4 linked regions of the Drosophila melanogaster genome follow. The gene in region 2 interacts genetically with the main gene of each other region. Each region holds a gene or a part of one and is shown on either strand. Other genes may lie near its edges.

Evidence for each region.
Region 1: of hop (region 2) and CycE, changing one suppresses a phenotype caused by changing the other (phenotypic suppression), as found in Drosophila melanogaster (2 studies listed by BioGRID).
Region 3: of hop (region 2) and Delta, changing one suppresses a phenotype caused by changing the other (phenotypic suppression), as found in Drosophila melanogaster (one study listed by BioGRID).
Region 4: of hop (region 2) and Ser, changing one suppresses a phenotype caused by changing the other (phenotypic suppression), as found in Drosophila melanogaster (one study listed by BioGRID).

What each region holds. Positions count from the first base shown.
Region 1 is NT_033779.5:15,742,910-15,748,321, reverse strand, and holds the start of CycE (cyclin E), read left to right. Parts: upstream 1-1,711; 5' UTR 1,712-1,838; coding exon 1,839-1,867; exon of another isoform or gene 1,868-2,065; intron 2,066-2,678; exon of another isoform or gene 2,679-2,930; intron 2,931-5,412. UniProt on the Drosophila melanogaster protein: Essential for the control of the cell cycle at the G1/S (start) transition. Targeted by archipelago for degradation by the SFC ubiquitin ligase complex.
Region 2 is NC_004354.4:11,361,951-11,370,347, reverse strand, and holds the start of hop (hopscotch), read left to right. Parts: upstream 1-2,249; 5' UTR 2,250-2,885; coding exon 2,886-3,947; intron 3,948-4,217; coding exon 4,218-4,378; intron 4,379-5,108; coding exon 5,109-5,315; intron 5,316-5,544; coding exon 5,545-5,864; intron 5,865-5,924; coding exon 5,925-6,387; intron 6,388-6,501; coding exon 6,502-6,851; intron 6,852-6,919; coding exon 6,920-7,356; intron 7,357-7,861; coding exon 7,862-8,040; intron 8,041-8,112; coding exon 8,113-8,277; intron 8,278-8,343; coding exon 8,344-8,397. Other genes in the region: Tim8, read right to left, coding at 1,468-1,644, 1,723-1,812. UniProt on the Drosophila melanogaster protein: Tyrosine kinase of the non-receptor type, phosphorylates the marelle protein. Required maternally for the establishment of the normal array of embryonic segments: involved in the control of pair-rule gene transcription in a stripe-specific manner.
Region 3 is NT_033777.3:19,322,517-19,327,919, reverse strand, and holds the start of Delta (delta), read left to right. Parts: upstream 1-1,702; 5' UTR 1,703-2,381; coding exon 2,382-2,438; intron 2,439-5,403. UniProt on the Drosophila melanogaster protein: Acts as a ligand for Notch (N) receptor. Essential for proper differentiation of ectoderm. Delta is required for the correct separation of neural and epidermal cell lineages.
Region 4 is NT_033777.3:27,190,745-27,196,145, reverse strand, and holds the start of Ser (serrate), read left to right. Parts: upstream 1-1,878; 5' UTR 1,879-2,202; intron 2,203-4,021; 5' UTR 4,022-4,403; coding exon 4,404-4,640; intron 4,641-5,401.

The sequences.
Region 1 (5,412 bases), on a different chromosome or scaffold from region 2:
CAGAGCAGTAAAAGTCAGGCTAACATAGAAGTTATTTTTCAAAATTTGAATAACGCGCCAATAAAAATCCCGCAACGCGATCGGCCGTAGTGGCAACGCCGCTGCCACTAAACTCCGACTCTCTCTTTGCGCCGTGTGGCCAGATGATTATGGCCTTTTTTTTTGCTCTTTCATCGCTCTCTCGATTTCGATCTCGTCACAGTGCCACTTGCGATCATTGTGTTACTTTGGAGTCGCTGAAAAATCGCGGGGATCGCATCGAATTGGCCTTGACTGCCGTGGGGTTGAGCTAGCCGTGAAAAAGACCGCAGAACCACGATAAATCTGTCGAAAAAGGTGACAAAAAGGAGGCTATACTGTCTTGCTGGCTGGCGTGCGTGTGTATGTGTGCGGCGGTGTGTGCAATTTTTTTCATCACCATTCCAGTCCGCGTGTGTTTTTCAGTGTGCAATCCCGCTGAGAATTTGCCCGAATCCTGCCCAACAGCAGGTGAGTGATGCCGGCCAATTGGCCCATTCGATTTGCAGCAGGTGCAGGGTTCAAAAGTTCGTGAACTTGCTTTTTAAGCCATTTCCTTTAGACCCCGTTTTCTCCATCGATATTGTAGCAGTCGAAAAGTAATGGAAAAAAAACGTGAGCAGCGACGTCGACGTTTTTGCCTCTTTCTCTCTCTGTTCCCCTGCCCCTCTCGCGCTCTCTTCCGCGCCTTCTCTTTGCGCGCGCAGCTGTCATCGCTGTCAGCAGCGCGCGCCGACGTCGGGTTCCCGCGCGCGGGAAATCATCAAGTTCAATCGATTCTAATTTGGCCGAATTGAACGGGATTTTCGATTTTAGTGAAAAATCAGATTCTGCGAGTTTTGATCTTTCAATTGGTTATAGGCACGCATGGTTTTTCATTTAGCTTACCTGATTTATAAGCGCTCGAAGTTGGTGCCAAAAATGCTCGAATGTTAATCGATGAAAACAACAAAGTGGCAGTGGTTTGTTTGGTTTCAAAGCAGCGTTACCACCTAGTTCGACCTCAGTCATCTTGTCATATGTTATTTGGCTGCAGTTCATAAAAACTACTAGAAAAGCATATTAAACCATGTAATTTCAGGCTTCTGAAGAATAAATAAATAATTAAAATTTTAAAGATTTATGAATACCCTTCAAGATAAATTTATTTTAACCTTGAATTGATTTTGGAGCGCTTTAAAAATATATTAAAAAAAATAGTTTCATATTAAAATTTAAATATTTATTTTCTGAAGGTCATATTTGAATTAAAATTGGCATATGACATAGAAATAAATCTTAGGTATTTATATATAACCACGATATATCCGACTAAATCCGCCCTTCTGGCATCCTCGTCAGCTGTTTTTCGACCACCCAGCTGACTGGACGTCGAACCTCCAATTGTAGTCTGACTAGCCTGTTGGGGACTGGGGACTCCAATTGCAGACTCCATTCAATAAAATGCCAAGCTTGCCACCAGCGGCTTCATCGCCCCGTCTCGCTTTCTCACGCTCTGTTCTTTGCGCTGGAGATGCTCGCCCCATCTCCGTCCCTCCCCTAGAGTACAACAAAGTTGCCCCCTGTGTTTGTTGCATTTTTTGGCGCTTCGGATCCGCCTGTTTTGGCGCGTTCCTCATGCACACTCGCCGCAGTCGACGTCGCTGCTTTTGATACCCAGTTCCACCAATTTTTTTTTCGGTTCCAAAGCGATCACTTTGCTGCCGCCGCTCCGCTGCTCGTGAAGTTTTTTCGTGGCCGGCGACGACGACGACGAAAAACTCTCGAAAAACGTTGTTCAATTCCCTTTAAGAAAAACAAGTGAAAACACCGGGGATATTATGTTAAGCATTTTTCCGCTTACTAGAAGGTAAAACCAATTGCACAATGGTTTTAGTGGATAAAAGGCAATACGTTATTCAGAGTGGAATAAAATTTATGACGCGTGTGCGGTGACAAGTGTGTGTGGAACAGTGAAGGAAAGAGCGGGAGAGAATGCTGCGTTTGCCGTCGTGTCTTTGCATTTTTTGCTACAAATACAACATCCTCTTATAAGAAAATTGACACGCTGTAGGATTTAACCGTTGCTTTCTGATTGGCAAGAGACGGGGTGTCCAACTACAAATTGTCTCCCCCACACAGTGTTTTAGTGTTCCCCCTATAAGGAAAAGTGTCCTATTAGAATTAAACCGTTATCCAATGGGAACAAATTGGAAAATCCTATGAAATAAATGAAAGCTTCTAATCACGTCTAAAAGTGCACTGAGTTTCTAATGCGTAACGGGAGTTCAGTGAACTATTACAGCTTTTCTTACTATAGAAGGCTTGAGATGCAGCTTATGGTTTACCCTGCTGTTTGGGCCAACTTTCTAATCTTTCTCCCGCCCGAATTGCACTTTTTCCCGCCATTCGCATAGATTTTGGGCGGTAAAACAAAACTGCCCCAGCCCAAACGCCTAATTCGCGCCACTTTGCGTTTCTCCATTCTTTTCCCATGCTCATTTCATTTTTATACGCTTCCTCCAATGACACACACACAAGCACAAACTTGGAAGAAATGCGCTCGCTAAGAGAGAGAGTAAGCTCTCTTTCTCTCGCTCTCTTCCGTTTTATTCCAATCAGAACAGCGAGTCAAGTTATTTTCCCCTTCCCAACACCAACAACAAACAAAAACGTTTTAGTACTGCGCTCTAAAACGGAAAAAAAGAGAGCATTTGACTGCGACGTCGAAAAAATTCGGAAAATCGCCGATCAGTCGACGGACCTTTCGAAAACTTGACGAACACGAAGCAGAGGTTCAAAGCAAAATGGAGTAAACGAGTGAAGAACAAAATAATGAATTATGTCAAAAGTGGCGCAAATATCTTTGGTACACGAAGAAAAAGATTGGTAGTGGCATTTAGCCCTTACCCACAATCTACGTACATACATATGTATGTATGTTTACATATGTAGAATTAATAATAGTATTTTAATTATTGTAAAATCGTGGTTATATTTATTTTTGTGAGTAGTTACTCTATGTACGTGCTCCCAACCAATGAGTGAGCGAGATAGACTGCCAAGTGGAGAATGGAGTTCATTGATATTTCTCGGCGTTTTGCTTTCGCTTCCCCTTCGTCTCCACCTTGCTTCGCGCCATCTTCGTTCTTTCCTCTTCTCCTCTGCTTCCATTTACCTGCCACATTCATTTTGTTGTTGTTTTCTTCGCAATTTTTGCTTTCTTCTTTATTTTTTGCATTCTTTTGACGTTTTTTAGTTTGCGTGTTCGCTTTTTGCGCCGTTAAACTTTTGGAGCGATCGCGGCGGGGGTGTGCGTGGGGGGTGGGTGGTGTATTGTTGATGGGGTGGATTTTTGTATACTTAATTTTTCGATTATGTCATGATCGTGCCGAAAATCAGCCGCTTATGTTTAGATTTGGCCAGTTTAAACCATGGGGAAATAAATTGTTTTTCTTAGAAGTGATTTTGAAAAAAGTAAGAGCATCAAGTTTTTGATGATTCAGTGTCGTGAATTTTGTATATTTTCCCAACATTTTCTTTTGTTTGACCCACCTAAACACTCCTTATATGATCTATTCAAATCCTAGTCAACACCTTTCAATTCTGCTCATGATCCTCCAAGTGCTTGCCACCTTCGAAAGCGGTATGTCATCAAAGGATTTTCTAGACGAGATGGGAACCCAAACTGATCTCGAATATTTTCTCATCATATGTACATACATACGTAAATGGTTATAGGAATCCACACATATCAACTGGCCATATTAACCCGAATTCCTAGTAAAATACCAACAATATTTCTCAATTACAAGTGCGGAATGTTTTACAAATATTACATGTTCTCCAAAAGGATGAGTTGTGAATAGTAACTCCTTAAATAAATGGTTCATATGTACATATGTATGTATATGTGGGCATTTTTTTTTTATAGTCCATACACATTTTTGTCGCTGCGGCAGAAGAATCCGATTCGGAATCGGAATGAGGTGAAGCCGTATGTATGAGGAGCAGAAACAACAATGATAAACAGTTTCCAGTTATTCCCAGACAAACAAAGGATAGTCCGTCCGACTGGCGATTTGTGGAGCGGGGAAGAGACAGGACGCAGGCCACTTGAGCTAGCTGACTCGCTGTGGGCATCCTTTTAGACGCTGCTAAATATAAACTAAATAGTCAATTGAGCGCGTCCCGATGTCCTAACGGCTACTTCAAGGCCATCGATTCTTGGAACTGGAACGCCGCCGTCGCCATCGCCGCCGCTGCCGCTCCATTCAAGAACTTTGATTTGTTCTCCTCCATCGGCTGGGCCGACTTTACTTTCACACGCCGTTTTGCCCAGGCGGCGCTCTTTAGATACCCGGCACACAGATACTCAGATACTCGGACTCACAGATACACTGATGCGCGCAGGCGAGGATCGACTTTCCTGTTCTCGTTTGCAGTACCCTGTAGTTCTGGGTAGGGTGGGCATATGCGACTGAAGCAACACAGCAAACTTGGGCCAATTGACCATTAGAATTTAAACGCATTCATGAGTATGAAAAGGAAGCATCAAAGATCGGGTTCAATTCAATGATGCTTATAAAGCAATCTTCGTGTATTGGTTTAAACTTTTAGTAGTATTATTTATAGTTTCATATTATGCAAATATGATTAGGCTTTCGATTTGAGAAAATATCTTCCTAATGAACTTCACCCTCTTACCCTATCAGCATTATGTAGCTATGTTGTTACACAACTCCTGCAGACTTTCGGTCCACCGAGTTCCAACTAATTGCAAGAGTGGTGGCCAAACCACAACAATGGAGAGGAGGCGGCATTGGCATGGACAACGCCACAAATGCCCAGATGCATGTGCATTTTTATCTCGAGTATCTCAGGAATGTATCTCGCCGCATGTGCAGAGGAGCCCAAAATGCAGCCCAAAAAGGACGCACAAAAATTGCAGGCCCAGACAGTTGAAGACGCCGGATAACTCGAGACCTGTTTTCCCTCTACATATGTACATATGTATATAGTCTGGCATATACTCGAGATACATACATATTTGTATATAATTTTTTTTGCGCTCTTCTTTGCGCATTTTGCGCATTCTTCTTTGCATTGCCTCAAGTTGCATTTCATATTGTATCTCGAGACTTGGTCCCATTTCCTTGTGGGAAATCTTCCGCACAAAGCAAATATTCCGAAGATGAGGGAAAAAAATACGGTCGACTTTATTTTCGACACTCGGTTTTCCAGTTAAATGACCTTGAAGGACCCCGTCCAGGTAAACAGATTCACTCATGCATCGTACACCTTTAATTAGGCGCTGTGCGCAAAGGAAACCCCCGAGTTTATCCGCTCGATCCGCGGCATTATTCATATTTGTATACCTGTCGCCGCGGATTTCGCCCGAACTCGCAGCCTTCT
Region 2 (8,397 bases):
AGAGCATTGTAAACTTATTAATACCAGTACCACACATCCGCAACAAAACTCCCCGTTATTGCAAATTAACCCCCCTCCTCTCAGCGAATGCATAAAAAAATGGATGCTGTGAATTATGTATGCTCCACACATACACACATACACACTTATTGCAACTGCAGTGTTTTCGCACGGAAAAAAAATCAGCTGGCTGCTGTACCGTTACGCACACACATACACACACGTGCCCTTTCGGCAATTATTTGACTTTTCCTGTACTTGCTTTATATCATCATCTGTATTTACAACAACATCCCTTTCACACATGCAAGTGCAAGCAGGAGGACAACCACCACACAGAGACACAAAAAAAAACTAAAAGGTGCACCGTTAAAAAAGTTTAATGTCCCTTTTTTAGTCCTGCAGGCAAATCAAGGTAACTTTTCATGCTTCTCTTCACTTGATCCTTTTTCACGCTTTTCGCTTCTCCTTCTGAACTTCTACACTTCACAGAAACCGACACCGACTGTATATTTTGCTATGTATATTATACACGGACACACACTCACTGGCAAAAAGGACATGCGTTTGGCACAGCCTTCGGGCATTTTATGTTTAATATAAATAAGTAGCGGCAGCACGTTGGAGAATATATATTACGGTTTTCTGCTCTGCTCACGGGAACACTAGTTCTAGTTGGGATCAGTGTGACCAGAGGCGCGCTGCGTGTGCAGCCCAATCAGAAGTCCTGGGCAAACGTTCAAAGCGAGCGCGGGAAATAGGTCCGCAAGCATTGCAAGTATTACCTTTGGATTTAGCAGAAATGCATTAATATTACATTTAGTATTACATTTTATACAGGAAATGGCAGCTACATTTGTGTGTTCAAAGTTGCGTAAATATGAATTCCAATTGGAAAGTTGCCGATAGGTACTTATCGAGTGGAAGCACTATACTATCGATATGGAATAACTTTATTTATTCTAATAAACATTTAAGGAACACCTACTATTTCATTCTAAGCCCCTTTCCAGCCTAATTAAATTTAAATGTATGTTGAAATGATCCAATTTCAATTCTATTTTCCTTTCTGCATAATATTAAGCCATCTATCAACAATATTTCATCATTATAAAAGAAGAGATTAAAACTATCCAAGCAAAGGATTACAACACAATGCATTTTAAACGTACGAAACGAAAGATGTATTTATTTTCGGTACGCTAACGTAGGGCCGACCAAACAATTGAGTTGCGCTACCGAATTAAATATTAATTCCGGAACTCGAATCACGGATTTCAATTTCGGGCTGGGTGCAGACTACGGGCCACATACTTTGGATGTCGGCGGCGAAACGCAGCGCGGAAAAAAATGTGCTTACATGATAATTTTTTGTTTAAAAATAGATTTAACAGTAGGACAGTGACGGAAGCGTCCACGGACTCGGATACCCAGATCCCGGTGTCGGTGTCGATTAAGCGAACAAATCTACAGGTCGCCGCCACCTCGCTTTTGGAGCATCTGAGCGAACCGCTGGGTGATAAGCAGCGACGTGTCGATGAATCGGTCGACGCAGTTGCTCAGGCACGTCTCGGTGGCGTGGTCCAGCTTGGTACTCGGCTTGCCGATGCACTTCTCCCAGCAGATCTCGTTGAACTCGTGTATCTGGCGACGATATAATGTGCGAGGGCATATTGTTATGATTACGAATGGTTATTATGTGTATGGGGGAACCCGGCTCACCTGCGCGTTGACCTGTGCCTTCTGTTTCTCAATCAAGAGGAACTCCTGCAGCTCCTTGTCATTGCCGGAAAGGTTCTCAAAATCGGACATCGTGTGATTTTCAGTGAGCAATCTACAAATTGACCGGGCTCGTCCGGAATTTCATATATTCTAAGGTTTGAGGTTATATAAACGACACTGACAGCTGTGAACTGTGGAATTACAAAAATCGATGTGTATTCGATAGCAAAGCTATTCGATACTGGAAATGCCGTGCATATTGCACTGTTTGCACTGTTGTCATATTTAAATGGCAAGAATATAGACGCCATAGAGCAAATAACAGTATATTTTTTTTTCTTAAGCATCCTCCTCCTGCCAACGAGGGTATACAATTTTCAAGAATACATTTCTAAAGTAAGTTGTTATTTATATTTACTGAGAACTATCGAAAAAGAACTAGAACCTCGCGTTGCCAACCACTGGTTCGCAAGGTGCGATAGTACAGGTTATTGGACAATCGATGACAAAGTGGCTCGGCCGTCGGCCAATCGATATCGTGAGGTGCAAATTGTCCGATGAATTTCACTGAAATTCGTGGCTTGTATTGTAGCTTCGCAATTGCAGCTTCGTTTCGACAGCAGGCCCACTTTCAGATCGAAGGCGTCTATAATCGCCATCCAGTCCCGTCGCCCTGTTCCCACAACGCCCCACAAATTTCGGGATCTAGCTGGCGTTTCGGGTGTCTAATTTCGGACCAGTGCACTGTGATTTCCGATTTCCAGTTTACTTTGCTGACGGATCGCCCAAGTGGCGAAGTGGTTCTTGCTCGGAAAGTTGGCGCTTGCTAAAAGAAGGAGCAGTCCAGGTGGTTCCCCGCCAGTGGCATCAATGGAACTCGCGCTGGAGTTTGGGGCAACCTTGCAACTGCAAGGGTAAGAGCATCGCCGATTCCAGGAGCATTCGCAGTAAGCCCAAAAATAGCAACTCAAGTCAGTCGCGGTGGTCATTGTTATTGGCAAGAAGAAGAGGAAACGGATAGAACGCGGCAAATTCCTAGGAAAGCTCCCATGATCTAGCTTCAGTGCGGCCGCGTAAGGAAACTGCTCCAGCCAAGGAACTGGGCTTGCAGGAGCAGCAGATAGCACCCAGCCCACAAGGGACCACTCACCGACAATCCTCTCATGGCCCTGGCCAACGGGGGAGAGGATAGAATGGACGACAGCAGCAGCGGACGCACTTCGCTGGCGGACAGCGCCAGCCTGACGAACTCCTCGCTGCGCAGCGGCACCTCCTCGCAGAGCATCCACACCAACGATGGCACAATCCGTGTGTTCAACTTCACCACCGGCGAATTTGAGCGTTTCCATCCCAACATGCTGTGCGAGGAGATCTGCAATACGATGTGCCGCCAGCTGGGCATTGCACCAATTGCCCAGCTGCTCTACGGAATACGGGAGCACTCGACATCGCGACGTCCCTCGCCGCTGGTGCGTTTGGATCTGACGTGGTGCCTGCCCGGCGAGCGACTCAACTGCCAGCTGGTCTATTGCTTTCGGATGCGTTTCCGTGTGCCCGAATTGGATAGCCAGCTGGAGTTGATCGATGGACGGAGCCACAAGTTCCTCTACCGCCAAATGCGCTACGATATGCGGACCGAGCAAATCCCGGAGATTCGCTATCCGGAGCACAAGGACAAATCAACGGGACTGGCCGTGATGGATATGCTAATCGACGATCAGGAACAGTCGGAGGATCAGCAGGCGATGCGCTCCATCGAGAAGCTTTACAAACTGTATTTGCCACCGAGCTTGTGGCGCGCCCACAGCTTCTTTGTGGGCTCCAAGATACGTGAGGTTTTCCGCAGTCTAAAAGCGAATTCGCTGAGTGTGGAGCGTTTGAAGTGGCACTATGTGCATCAGGTATCCCATTTGGCGCCCACCTATATGACCGAACAGTTCACCTGCACCGTTCAGTATCTGCCCAACGAGGAGGTGGCCCGCGGTAGCGGACCCATCGGCACCAGTCTGGCCCACTCGACGTCGACGCTGGCCAGTTCTGGATCGACCAACACTCTGTCCACGCTCACCACCAACACCAATTCCGTTGCACTCGGCGGCAGTGGCAAGAAGGCCAAACGACGTTCCACCAGCGGTGGAATCGATGTCTATGTGCGAGTCTTTCCACACGATTCCCTGGAGCCTGGACTCAAGGTGGCCAGGGTCACCTCCGAGGCCACACTCAAGGTACACACTATGTTTCCTTCTGAAATCTTATATGGTTTCTTGTGGTTTTCCCATCGAAATGCGCATTTTAATGCTGGCCATTTTAAATATGGAAATACCATTAATATTATAATATTTAAAAAACATTTTGATAGATTTCTCAATTTAATTAACGCGATTGTCTTGGTAATCAAGTTGCTTATCGCTGGCAAAGATTCTTGAAATATTCATACATACATACCATATGTAATTGCACTAGCATCCCATTGATAATCCTCATTTCCTCTGCAGTGGATCCTTGTTGGCGCCGTGGAAGGAATTTTTATGATCTCCAAAATCAACGACACCTCTGTGCGGCTGGAAATCGTTGGTCTGCCCAAGGGCTACGAGATGCAGTTTCAGACGGAGAAGGAGATGAAGTCCTTCATCTCCTACCTGGGTATCTACATCAGGTGAGTGGTTCACTTGTAATCGGTGAGCTTTAGATCCCAAAGAGTTCGCTTCCAACTAAATTTTAATCTTTTAAGCCGAACTTGCTTGGTCTTTTTTTCACCAGAATTTATAGGCATCTCATTGTAGTGTTCGTGTAACAATAATCAGTGCCCAATGTTCTTAATCAAACTACTCAATTGTTTTTTTTAACATCCATTGATTTAAAAAAAAAAACATCAAGTCATCAATTCCACGAACTCATTTAATAACATAATAATTCCACTTAAAAGTTAATGATTCCCACATAAATATGACATTTGATAACACGATTAAATACAGTGCTTGAAATGCTTGCTTTTTTGTTTAAAGAGTTTGTTAAAACCAAGTCCCTGTTTGTTTTGTAATCCAACACACAAAGTCGGTTTTCGTTATCAGGCTAAAATTAAAACAAGCAAGAAATTTAAAACTAAATGCTTTCAGAAGATTTCTTCAGTTAAATTGATTAAATAATTACGCACTAATCGGTTTTAAATGTTACATTGCTATTTATATCGCCTGCGTCAATGTGCAGTACTTCTCAATAACTCAATAAAGTTATATGTACGTAATTGAAACAATTGATTCCCAGCTATAGAATCACTTTTCAAATGCAATAATAATAATAATAATAATAATAATAACAATGCCAATGGACAGCAACAAATGTGCGCAACTTATAACTCGTATTTGCCATCCGTTTATTCCTTGCAGATTGTCGAGCAAATGGATGCAGGATCTGTGCCATTCGTACCGCACGCCCTCCCTGGAGGAGCTGAGCTCCCTCCACTGCCATGGTCCAATCGGCGGTGCCTACTCGCTGATGAAGCTGCACGAGAACGGTGACAAGTGCGGCAGCTATATTGTGCGTGAATGCGATCGAGAATACAACATATACTACATCGATATCAACACCAAAATGTGAGTACATGCGCGCCTTCACACAGTTATCAGTTACTTCCTCCTCGCTGGTTATCAGGCTTACAAACATTTCTGTATGCAATGCCACATGATACACAAAAATGCTGTGTGCGCTATGTGGCCAATTGTTTCGCTTACTGATGATTGCCTGTGTGTGTGTGTGATTGATGATGCCCAAATTAGATGTGATCGGTTTTATCTCATGCGAAAATCCCGCTCACCTTTGCAGCATGGCCAAGAAAACCGATCAGGAACGCTGCAAGACGGAGACATTTAGGATCGTGCGCAAGGACTCGCAATGGAAGCTAAGCTACAACAACGGCGAGCATGTACTAAACTCACTGCACGAAGTGGCGCACATCATTCAAGCGGATAGTCCCGATCGCTATCGCATACCCGCCTCCAAATATGACAAGCCGCCGCTGCTGCTACTGCTGCTGCCAAAGAACCTCAAGGCCAAAAAGACTGACCTCCAGCTGAGCGAGGCGGAGCTGCAGCGCCGCAATCCGCAGATCTTCAATCCCCGAACGGATCTGCAGTGGTATCCAGGTGGGTCATACTATATATTCTAATGCCTTGCTTCGTTCTAATCGCTCGTCTTTTGCGCAGATTCGATATCGCTTAGCGACGATGGCATGATGTTTACGATGCGCGGCGATTGGATCCAACAGAGTCCCGTCAAGGATGTGTCCGTGACGATGAAAATGCTAAAGAGCGATGGCAATTTCATGGAGTTCTTTCGCTTGGCACAGACCTGGAGCCTCATCCAGTCGCCGCAGTTCCTCAAGCTGTACGGCCTAACGCTCGCCGATCCGTACACAATGGTCATGGAGTATTCGCGGTATGGTCCGCTCAATAAGTTCCTGCACTCGATGCCCAATGTAACACTGCATTGTCTACTGGATCTGATGCATGGATTGGTGCGCGGCATGCACTATTTGGAGGACAACAAGATTATCCACAATTACATACGATGCAGTAATCTGTACGTGACCAAGTACGATCCGAATTCGTACGTGCTAGACGCGAAAATTAGCGATCCCGGCTATCCGCGTCCCTACCGAGAATCCGAGTGAGTAGCCGACAAATACAACTTAATCATCTTCTCGGTTGGGTCATACTCTTTGATAAAACAAAAAAAAAGCAAACAGCATTTTAAATAACATCATTCATTCTCCACTTTCAGCTCGCCATGGATACCTGTTAAGTATTATCGCAATTTGCAAGCAGCCAAAACGGATCAGTTTGCCCAGCTGTGGGCCTTCGCTACCACCATATACGAGATCTTCTCGCGCTGCAAGGAAGATCTGAGCACACTGCGCCAGGAGCAGCTACTCAGGCAGAAAAATCTCGATGGCAACATACTCAAGATGCTCGATCAGGACATCTGTCCGGCGCCGATATTCGAGACAATCATGGATGGATGGTCCGATGATGAGACCAAGCGCTTCAGTCACCACGACATTTTCTCGCGTCTCAACACGATCAAGGCGGAAATTCTGCCCAATTATATGCCGCCACCCGAGATCGCAACGAGTAAGTTGAGCAGACGAAAGCAGCGTTACGAGATTGGCATACATTTCATCTTCTATTTTTTTTTCCAGATGGAACTGGAGACGAGACCGTGATCGATAGAAGCGACATACCCTTTCTACCCTTTCCGCGTTCGAATATGTTGATGGTCATACCGCTGACCAGCGAATGTCGAGTGATCTACAACATGGAGAACATGATCGGGCGCGGTCATTATGGCACTGTCTACAAGGGTCATCTGGAGTTCAACGACAAGGATCAGCCGCGCGAGCAGGTTGCCATCAAGATGCTGAACACCATGCAGGTGTCGACCGATTTTCATCGCGAGATCGGCATCATGCGCACCCTCAGTCATCCGAACATAGTCAAGTTCAAGTATTGGGCTGAGAAGTCGCACTGCATCATTATGGAATATCTGCAATCTGGTTCCTTCGACATTTACCTGCGTTTCACGGCACCCAATCTCAATAATCCACGGCTCGTCAGCTTCGCTTTAGATATTGCAAATGTGAGTGGTTCGAATATGGCTTTAGAACGGAACAAGTTTTCCGGAAAAAAGAGGGAAAACTCAAAGAAAAATCTACAAATATTTTAAGGGTTTTTGCATCATAACTTGGCCAAAAGTGGTCAAATTTCGAAGGGAATGACTGTTTTTAAAAGCTTATGATCCCAATTAACAAATCCTATTTCTTTTTTTTTGAATTTGGTGGATTCAAAATTTTTCCATTTTTTTGAATTTTTTACAAGGGGTAACATCATCAAAATTTGCAAAAAATGGCAAAAAATTAAAAGTTCCCATTTTGAACCCCAATCGATTGGGAATTAAATTACGAGCCAAACGAGGTATAACAATCCATATTTGGGCTACTACTACCCAAGATGTGGCCAAAAAACTGCCCATTTTGGACAAAAAACCACAAAAAAGAACTTTGGTATAGAAAACTCATGTTTACGACTTTAGAAGAGATATTTCCTTTTGATCCAGTACTTAATCCAAATGCTTCTCGTCGCAGGGCATGAAATACTTGTCCGACATGGGACTCATCCACCGCGACCTGGCCGCCCGCAACATTTTGGTGGACCACAACGGCGATGGTGACTGCGTCAAAATCTCAGACTTCGGCCTGGCGCAATTCGCCAATTCCGATGGATATTACTATGCGAAAAGCAAGCGTGATATTCCCATTAGATGGTAAGAAAAAAAGAAGATGGATTGACGGTAGGCCACTATCGCAACTGAATATCTTTGCTTTCCATTGGTCAGGTACTCTCCGGAGGCCATCTCCACCTGCAGATTCTCATCGTATTCGGATGTTTGGAGCTATGGCGTGACGCTCTTCGAAATGTTTTCGCGCGGCGAGGAGCCCAATTTGGTGCCGATCCAGACATCGCAGGAGGATTTCCTCAATCGCCTTCAGAGCGGCGAACGGTGAGTTATCGTGAGATTTGGGTCCATCAACTTGTTGAGTAATTCGAGTAATTCGTTTGCTTACAGCTTAAATCGTCCGGCCAGTTGTCCCGATTTCATTTACGACCTGATGCAGCTGTG
Region 3 (5,403 bases), on a different chromosome or scaffold from region 2:
CAGACCATTTCAATGAACTGCTGTTTTCGAGTGATTTACAATGTTTGATCAAAAAATCGAATCAAATTAATCTTGCTCTTTTCGTTAAGTAATTGGATCAATTTTTAACGAAAGTTTGGATCCAGAGACCACCGAAGAATCTAATGATTTGTTAGGAATAATAATAAAATAAATAGGTGTACAGACTTAGCATTTTTACCTTAAGATTTTTACAGAATAGAATGGAAGTACAAATTGGAAAATCAGGCCAGCTATTTAAAATTGTAAAGCCAAAATGAAATCGTAGTAGGCGAACACATCATATTCAATCTATTTTCATAAAAATATTTAGTTTAGCTCGATTCGGCATCGTCGGCAGTCCTATATCAACTAGAAAATATTTGGATTCAAAAAAAAAATTTTATTTTTATTTTTTTTAATATTCGTTGAAAATAAATGCAAGTATTAAAAATTATTACTATTACACAAAATGCTTAGAACAAAATTTATTGATTTTGAAATATTGTTTGGTTATATAGTTATTTATCGTTTATTTCAATAGAGATTCTAGTTCATTTGGTTATTGTGGAGCAAACATATGCAACGCAGTGAAGATGTTATCACAAGATGGTATTTCCGAGCCAATGGATCTTTGAGGCAGAGGCTTGTAAATATTTGTACATTCTGATCATATTTAATGAGATTCCAAACCTTTAGCTAGATGGTATCTTCAGCAATTTCCACCGAGCAGCTTGGACAATTAATATGTAGTTTATGGATCCTCTTTCAATGAATTTAGTATGCCCAAACTCGAAGGAGTTTCACCTCCATAAGAGCGACAGTCCTGGAGAAGTTATCAGAGCCAAAAAAATTCATATGATGATGCATTTTCCGTCTCTGAAAACGTCTTCAGCAGAAGTTGTTTTTAGCGAAGTGAAACTCATTCGATTTTGATCATACTAACGACATTGGATGCTTGGATCGGCAGTTTGGTGGAATATAAATACCAAGACCCTAAGACTGATGACGTACCTGCTAATGAAGATGATGGAGATATACTTGCATGCCAATTCAATAAGTTATAAGCACCCAATATAATAAAATTCAAATATTTATATTAAATACAAATATCCATCTTTAATTTTATTTTTGGTTCTCATCTTGGCAACAATAAATGTTGCTAAGCATTTTGCTTTCAACTTTCGCGTGAGCTGAATCGGTAAATTGAGCGAACCGGGAATCAAATGTTGCTAACGAAATGCTTACAAGCCGGTATCCAACTGGTATCTGAAACTGCTAGCAAAACGGGGAATCAAATGTTGCTAACGTAAACGAATTGAATTGATTTGTTTTATTTTAGATATAAAAATAAAAGTAGAATATCTAGAAATAAAAAATCCGAATTTTGAAGATTATTTAGAGACAATCTTGGAAATTTGTACAAATAAACACCCGTCCGGTTGAAGTTAAACAATATAATAAATTCTTATATCAAAATAAACTTGGTAATGTATATTGAAATTTTAAATAGTTTTTAAAATGTGTAAGTTGACTATTTATTCAAAACGGTTTGTTGCATTGCATCTGCTGAAATGCACTAATTTTGCCACGGAACTCGTTTTGAGAGCGAAAGAGAGAAATGAGAGAGCGAGTACGTTTCGTGGTATTTTTTAGTACGATTCGCGGCGGTGAAGGTGAATAGTGTTTTGGTCGTGGACATGAACGGCATTACGTTTTTCAACTCGGCCGCGCGAATAACTCGAAAAAGGCAGCTCCGCAGCCAAGGCATTTTGAAAAACACAAGTCCCCGACTCGAAACGCGACCAAATATTCGGTGTGTGACGCGAACTGCCAATGCAATAGTTCACTTAAGAATTGCAGATTACCGCGACTCTGGGCAGTTCTCATTCGATATTTGAATGTACCAAAAGAAAAGTGCCAGAACCAGAAATCAAAATAAAAGATCTTCTAACAGAATAACAAGAAGTGTTTCCTCCGAAAGATTAAAAAATCGCGAATGATTAAGAATCGCGGCACCGTTAGTTCCCTCTCTCGCTTTTCCCTTTTGCGCTTTTCTGCGTGAAAAGGAGAAGACTCCGCAGTTCGCGAAAAGAGCTTTTATTTCGCGACACTTAAAAATAAACACAGTCGAGGAAATTGCAACAAAAAATGTGGCGCGTGCACGTGTAGCTTGCAACAACGACAACAAGAAAACAACGAAAATGCTAAAAGCGAATTGCAAAACCATGTGCGACAAGTAACCAAAAAAAAAATTCAAAACATAAACACAATAAACAATTTGAGTAGTTGCCGCACACACACACACACACACACAGCCCGTGGATTATTACACTAAAAGCGACACTCAATCCAAAAAATCAGCAACAAAAACATCAATAAACATGCATTGGATTAAATGTTTATTAACAGCATTCATTTGCTTCACAGTCATCGTGCAGGTGAGTTTCAGTCCCAGGAAAAGCGCTCATTTTCCATCCAACAAGTTGTATTTTTTGGCAATTTATTTTCTTTATTTCTACGCGCACGCGTGCACTCACCGCTGAATTTTGCAGCTGGTGTGTTGTGCGCGCATGTGTGTGTGTGGGGCCAAAAGGGAAGAAACGATTGAAGGGTTGCCAGGTTACTAAATATTTTAAAACTTTTGGGGTTCCGTATGATCATCTCAAAATATCTATTTTGAAACCACTCCAACATCGCGTTTGCTTCCAAACTTATTTTTCAAGCTGGTAACCCGAGAACTTTTGGGTAGAAACAGCTGAGTTGATATTTTAAGCGGGTTGGCTTTTAGGGGTGGAAATTGTGGATCGGATCGTATCACCCTTTTCGGAACATGCATACATATTTCATAGAGCAAAACTAGTTTGGAAACATGCGAGGCCAATGCCCAAACAGGTCCATCCCCAAAAAATGGTTTAATTCTAGTACACAGCGGAAAAATATGAGGCATACGTTAGAAGAAATACCTTCAAGATAATTTTTGACATGCAGATCAGTTCAACTTCTTAGAAATCCTACTATGTGTACTAATTGTTCTCCGTGTAAAAACAGAGATGATCCAAGTCTGCCTCAACGTCAAAATTTACCACCAACGGCGTATGCATCCAGAGCAGCAGCAAAAAATGATAAAACTGCTCGATTTCAATATGAGGCTATATAGTAATGCTGTGCTACAAGCCCATGCTAAAAAGTTGATGATGCTGGGCAACATCTGCCGTTTTCGCCGTCATCTCCTCCTCTGTCCCTCCGCTTTGCATGCGCTTTTTACATGCGATTTTTTTCGGTTTACTTTTCGCTCTGCGTAGGTCAACGCGACACATGCTCAGCCTCACTTGCTCTCCCCTCCTTGCGTTGTTTCTCTTCTGTCATGCTTTCATTGATCTTTAACGCCAGCATCCCCTGGTTACACGGATAAAAAAAAGAGTTGTGCAGGGTTTCCAAACAGTGCGATCTCTAGAAAATAACACTAAATATTTTGTTGTTAATGTGTGGGTTAGTTTCAAAGATAAGAAAATATTAAATTATAATAAATCTTGACCATACATAGTATGTGTACATAGTATACATTTCATAGTTCAGAACTATTTAGCTACGAAGAAATTACAACTTAGATCCACAATATTAAGCTGATAGGGAGCTCTTTATTGATAATAGTACCCATTTACTCACCGTGCACCCTGCATGTGCTCCAATCCTCTACCGCTCTCCGCACTTCTTGATTTTCTCCCAACTTTGGCACGTTGCGTGCTTAAACTTCACTCTTCGACCAGCTTCTTTTTGCAGTCTGCTATTTAGTCGCTAATTTTAACAACGTCCCAAAAAAGTGTCTCGACGCCAACCTCCTGGGGTCTTGGGACTGCTGAAAATGCTCCCCGTATGTAGGCAGAAACATCTGCCCAATAATTCTGACTCATTTCCTTACTTACTTACAGGGAAAGGTGGAATAGTTTAATTTGTCATTTAAAATAATATCTCGGGCAATTAGCTTGCCATTAGCAATGCAATTTAATTCAATTTTCTGCCCATTCTATAAGGTATTATTCTCACAATTTCTTGGCCCTTTCTTGTCCCATGCTGCGTTTAAATTTCAATTTAACTATCAAATAACCGTAGTCGCCTTGTTTTCGCATTTATGCAATTTTCATATTAACATTGAGCGTCGAAGAAGTGAGTGAGTGAGCGAGTGAGTGAATGAATGAATGAATGAATGAAGACTGGGACTCGTGGGGGAGCACTCGTAGTCTTCTCGGCTCTGCTCTTTCTTCGCATAACATAATTAATTGCAATTTAGAAGCCAAAGAGGAAGACGACGACTACTCCCACACAATGCGATGGATGATTCACTTGCGCTTGTAACTGTTTCCCAAGCCCGTTGTTAACGGTTGATTATGATGATGAATTTAAATGATTAATAAACAACATGCAGGGTAGGGGCACCAAAGCAAACACCTGTAGGAAAGTCGAGGAAAAGTCGGGGAAAATTATAATAAAAATGCGTGCTTTCATACATTTTTATGTCCCCTTGTGTTGTTTTAACTTCTTCCCTGCTTTTTTTTCTACAACAACTGTCTGTCAGTCAAGGCAAGTTGACGTGGAAATGGCAAAAAATGAAAAGAAACGAAGAACTAACTAACTAGTCGCTTCAAGCCTCAGTGATCGCAGTAAAAATAGGAGTAGTGGCCAGTAAAGAGAAAGAAAACGAGAAACGGAGACAAAGAATGGCTCAAGCAAAAGGTAAACAATGCAACGCACTATTTTCTAACACTTTAACAAGTGTCTGTCTTCCATTTGAGAGGTTGGCAGCTCCAGCTTTCAAGTTCCACCTGGCGAAACCCCCTCGTAGATCCCCCCCACAAGTTTTACCTTTCGGTTATTCAGCCGCTGTGGAGTTCATAGTTGAAGGCAAAGGCAAACAAAAAGCGGAAGGAGAACCATTACCAGTGTACATATGCCAAAGTTATGAGGCGGATTGTGCAAGGTGTAACTGAGCATTCAACATTTTGGAATTACGATAAAAACAGTCGGAAAAGTTAGATCAAAGAGAAATATATTATATATTTTACGTTATTAGAACGAAAGTTATGTTTTTTAAATGCTAATTCATCATATTATCTACTACTTGTCCCTTTAAGAGCTTGCTAATACTAACCGCATACTTGGAGGGACTTTAAAACAGTGTGAGAAACTATAACCAAAATTGGTGTCAAATGGTGGACAAAACTATTGTGGTTTTAACGATTGCACTTTTTGTTTTGTTTTGCTTGTGCTTCCCACCATCTTTAGAGTGTGTGTGAATGTTTGTTTGGTGTTATGCAAATTGATTTGCTTGTTGTTTTGTCTTGCTTTTTTTGTGTTGTATATGTTGTGTCAACTTCTGCGCCTTTGTTTGTGTGTGCGCTTTTCGTT
Region 4 (5,401 bases), on a different chromosome or scaffold from region 2:
CCTTCGTAAACAACTAACCTAAGGCAATGATTCTCCGGACGAAGGGCGGCCACTATGTGGCAACCACTAAACCACCAGAAACCACTAACCGCAAACAGCCACCACAACGGCAGCAGGAGGAGTGAAAAATTAAAAAAGAAAAACGAGGAGGCGGAAAAAACACTTGAAAAATCTGTCATAAAATGTTGAGTGGTGTAAAACCAACTGGTTGAAATTGCCAACATATTTGCCTGTTTGTTTAATGAACTCGCCCAACGAGGGTTTTTTTGGTTTGAGGGGGTGAACCTTTGTCAAGAGGGTGGGTTTAACATTTTGATTACTCAATATGTTTGATTTTATGGATTTATGCCACCGCTCTGGTCCACTTTTGCAGCTGTTACATGTGACAGTAAAACCAAAAAACACAAAAACACTTGGCCGGAAAACGAAAGCTAATCCCAAAAAAGAAATGCCATCAAACCCGAACAAGTGTCCAACAAGCCGCCAACACAGAGTGCCCCCAAATTATGAGAGACGCGCACAAAGACACCTGTAAGTCGTTGTCTGCTATTAGTTGAAATCAAAACGAAAACAATGTAAGCCACAGTGAGCAAAAATAATATCTCTGGGGAGCACCAGCTCGAAGTCTCTGGAGGCTGATGGCTGAAGGCTGTAGTCTGCTGGCCACCAACGCAAAGCTGGTCGTCGCCTTTTAGCCAATTTTGATATAACTGAAAGCGTCAATTATACGTGAAATTTATGATGCCGTGTGAAGAATAACACCAACTTGCAACATATTTGGACAACGAAGCCGTTGCCATTGCCGCTGGCAGTTGCCTTTGCCGTTGCCGTCTCGGTGGCCCGTACAATTGCCGCTCTGGGGTCTCTTGTCGCAGATATGTAAGCTGATAATGGGCATTGTAGTGCAGTTTTTCTTCCATTTCTTCTGTTTTTTTTTTCTTCTTTTTTTTTAAGCGAGAAAAGATGACAAAGGAGCTGGGAGACCGCTGCCCAGTACGCCCACCAAATAGAGGAGGATGGAGACCCAAATGGCCAGGGAGACGGCTAGAGAAGACATTTTGGGCACACACCAAGTCAATTTGTTTTATCTATTGTCGAACAAGAGTCATGTCACAACGGCACAATGAGATTTACTATGTGTTGTTGCAGTTGTTGAGGCAGCAGCAGTTGTTGCTGCTGCTGTTGTTGCTGTGGTGGGCAGACAATGGAAAATCAGCAACATGATTCGATATTTAGATATGCGCCTCAAGAAATATGAGCCGCTAACAACAACAGTAAGGTAGGCAGCAGCAACAACAAAGATGCTGCCGCCTGTCTTGTTGGCCGCATGTAATTGCCAAGTTTGTTGCTTAAGTCTTTTGTTTTGGCTGCACTGATAGGCCAGTTGCATTTAAATTTGATTTATACACTTTTGGCCAGCAGATAATTGGATGGAAGTCGCCGCTCTGTCTGTGTGGTTAATAATTGGCCGATGCTAGTATCTTTCGATTTGGTTCCCAGCCGTTAAAGATTGTGGGAGCGTTCCTTCATATTAGGTGTTAATTGCCAGTCCCTTGGAGCTACTAGATCTGGAGCACACACACACATACACACACAGCCCCAGAATGCACTTATTGGCATAATTAAGTTGGAATCGTAAAAAACGGCAGCCGAGAGCCTCGGGCGCGCATGCGTGCAGCAGCCGAAGCGGCAGCAACTCCATTAACTGCCGATTCTGATTCAGATTCCGGGCCCCGGGGCTATATACAGTCGTACGACCAATCAGCGGCTGGCTAAAGAGCACTGCACGAAGAGCAAACTGGTTTTCTTCAAAGAGAAGCACAGAGAGAATCGCTGCGAGTTAAGCTCTCGGGATCGACGGCAACTTGTGCCCAGAGGCAATCAGTCGTTAGTCGAAGCCTGAAGCGCACGCAGCACTCAGCGGAAGTCGTCGCCAGTTTATTTTGAAAGCGGTTTCGGTGGTTCAGACCGAGCCACAGTTCTCTTAAGACTGCAGATCACCACCACCACCACCACCACCAGCAGCAGCAGCGACAGCTCACCTCACCACCTTTACCACCACCAAAACCGCAGCTCTCTCGCGTGACTTGCTCCGCCCCGTGAATGGATGCTGCTCGAGGGCTGGAAATGCCGCAGGATTCGGTTAACGCGTTTAGTCGAGCGCCGTGCTTCGAGCGGTGATGAGCCCCTTTTCTGTCAACGGTAAAACCCCTCCTCGAATTGGATTATTGTGCACCCAAACTGAACGCCACCGACCATCATCCATATAACAATTGTGAAAGTGTTTAATGTGCCGCAATCGAATTAAATTGCTTGCTGATTACAACAAATGATGAAGAGCAATCAACTACAAATGCTCGGTGGAAGAAAAGCAAATCGAAAGATCGACAATCAGCCGACATTTTGCTATGTGTGTGTTTCCATAGTGTGTGATTAATTTCTGAGCCCAGATCGTGTGAGCTAAGGAAAACGGAAATACCTTTCAATTAAATACAATACATTAATATATCAAAATACAATGCCGTCAAAATTGTGTTTAATCAAAGGCGAAAAGTAAAAGTGCAAACAATGTGAATATGCGAAAACGAGTGCCCCATTCCGGGGGAATCGCTGGCCACAGTGTGCTCCATTGATAACGCACACAGGGACGCAAAACAGGGACACAAACACACGAAGCTACAACTACGAAGTGGAATTGAAACATGCCAAGTGAAAGGGAGAAAGAATGAAAACATCCGACTAGTTCATAATGCACGCAGATAATACAAATAATAATAATAATGGGCGCACATAGAGAAATTTCCACTAGAACTTAATAAGTGGGATTCCCAAACAACCTATTGAAAGTATTTGACTTTCTAAAAGCGATGCTTAACACGGATTTTTTTTTCTAAATTTAAAGAATTTTGAATTGAATAACAAATGTTTTATTAGAAAGTTAAAGAACTTTCCGTATAGATGAAGTAGTGTAGTTTTCTTCTGTGCACCGGGAGAAAAGAGAGATTGTGAAATCAGTTTGGTTCTGAATGGGTGGTACGAGCATGGGAAAGCCCCTGATCAAGAGAGCGCGGAAAATGCTCGATGCACTGCTCAATGATTTACCATATGCAACGAATAACGGATCTAGCACGGTCCAAAGCTTATTCAGATCGTTAAGTTCAAGACGGTGATCTGGTTGCACAATTATTTGATAAATCAGAGTATATCCAGAAGTTACTAGAAATAGAAATGGATACACGGTATACTAAAGTTTTGAGGCCGCTAGAAGTTCATTCATCGTTTTGCAAATTGCCAAGAGAGAAGAGTGAAAGTAGCGGTATTAGGGGGTATTAAGGGGGAGGTAGCTGCATCATCCACTTGCAAAAGCCACTTCCGGTCATGCCCTGCAGCAGCAGCAACATCCACATCAGCGGCAGCAGCAGCAGCAGCATGAGCAAGAGCGGCAGCATCTGGGTTTCGATTCAAAGTCAACGACTTCCGTTCCGTGCCAAAGCCGGGAGGAGGCCCCAAGCAAATTACTTAATTAAATGGACAATTAACACCCGAGCAGGAGGAACCGGGGCGGGCTGGGGGGCTAAAGGCCATGGGAGGATAGGATGGCCGGAATGGCAAAAGCAGCGGCAGGGTGGGAAGAATGAGTAATGTGAGCAAGAGTGAAAATATCTGTAAATTAATATGCGCACAAGATGCAAATTGTTTGTGGCCAAAGACACGGCTCCATAGTCGCAGCAGCAGCAACTGCAGAAGCAGCCACATCAGCAGCGGCAGTAACAGCGTTAAATTAACATAAATTGAATTGCATTTGCATTTGCTGCACGTTGCCGCTTTTTGCGGTCTGGCAAAAGTAAATGTTGCTGCGGTGGCTGGTGGCACTTGTTGCGGCTTGCTGCGGTTGCCGCTACTGCAACTGCAACTGCAGCAGCAGCAGCATCATCTGCGTGTCAATTAGCGTTGATGATGCACAGTGAAATAGATTTTGCGCAGCCCGTTTCAATTCCAATTCGTTCGACAATTGTTACAGCTAAAGATCTACAAAACATCAGCGCCTATCAAGTGGAAGTGTCAAGTGTGAACAAAACAAAAACGAGAGAAGCACATACTAAGGTCCATATAAATAATAAATAATAATTGTGTGTGATAACAACATTATCCAAACAAAACCAAACAAAACGAAGGCAAAGTGGAGAAAATGATACAGCATCCAGAGTACGGCCAGTTATTCAGCTATCCAGAGCAAGTGTAGTGTGGCAAAATAGAAACAAACAAAGGCACCAAAATCTGCATACATGGGCTAATTAAGGCTGCCCAGCGAATTTACATTTGTGTGGTGCCAATCCAGAGTGAATCCGAAACAAACTCCATCTAGATCGCCAACCAGCATCACGCTCGCAAACGCCCCCAGAATGTACAAAATGTTTAGGAAACATTTTCGGCGAAAACCAGCTACGTCGTCGTCGTTGGAGTCAACAATAGAATCAGCAGACAGCCTGGGAATGTCCAAGAAGACGGCGACAAAAAGGCAGCGTCCGAGGCATCGGGTACCCAAAATCGCGACCCTGCCATCGACGATCCGCGATTGTCGATCATTAAAGTCTGCCTGCAACTTAATTGCTTTAATTTTAATACTGTTAGTCCATAAGGTAAGCAAACCAACCAACATGCAAAAAACGATCGAATCCCCAAAGCAATAATCGCAAAAAGCCCCAGATCCAAATACATGCGGGTGTAGTGTCTCGTCAAAAAGGCCAAAAGAAAACAGACAAAGTTGATTCAACCCATGCGAATTGGCAATGGCTGAGGGCAAAGTTTTGATGGGGGACGTAAATAATGATGATTTTTGGGTTTATTTTTTTGAGTGATTTATCAACTCCGCATCCCGAAGAGCTGTCTTTAATGAGAGCTCTTACGCTGGAATTTTCTCAAAGCAGTAAATCAAGCATATGTCAATAAACAAGATTCGTAGAACGCGTTAAAAAAACAGAAATCATTTACAGTCTTAAGTTATTTAATAAGATTGAAAATGCTGAGATTAAAATAGAGGATATATTTTCCCTGTTCAATTAATGTATCCATTACGTTTTAAAATATCAACAAATCTACCAGCATTTTGATAACTGCACTTAGTCAAAATATTCCCCAAGTTTTAACCATTAAACTGGCATTTAAATAAAGTCATTCTCGATTTTTAGAAAAAGCCTCTGACTAAGAATTCTGGGCTTAAAACGATCGCATGGATGAGGACCCCTCGAAAAGTGATCCGCCAGATTAGTGGGCAGTTCTATCTACGAGAACCATCTCTACGAAATGGTTCCCACATGGCAACGGTAGTCGAGAATCGGAGGAGCTAGGTGGTTTTCGGGGTGTAGCCGTCATAAAGTGTTACACAAAGTGCCTAAACATG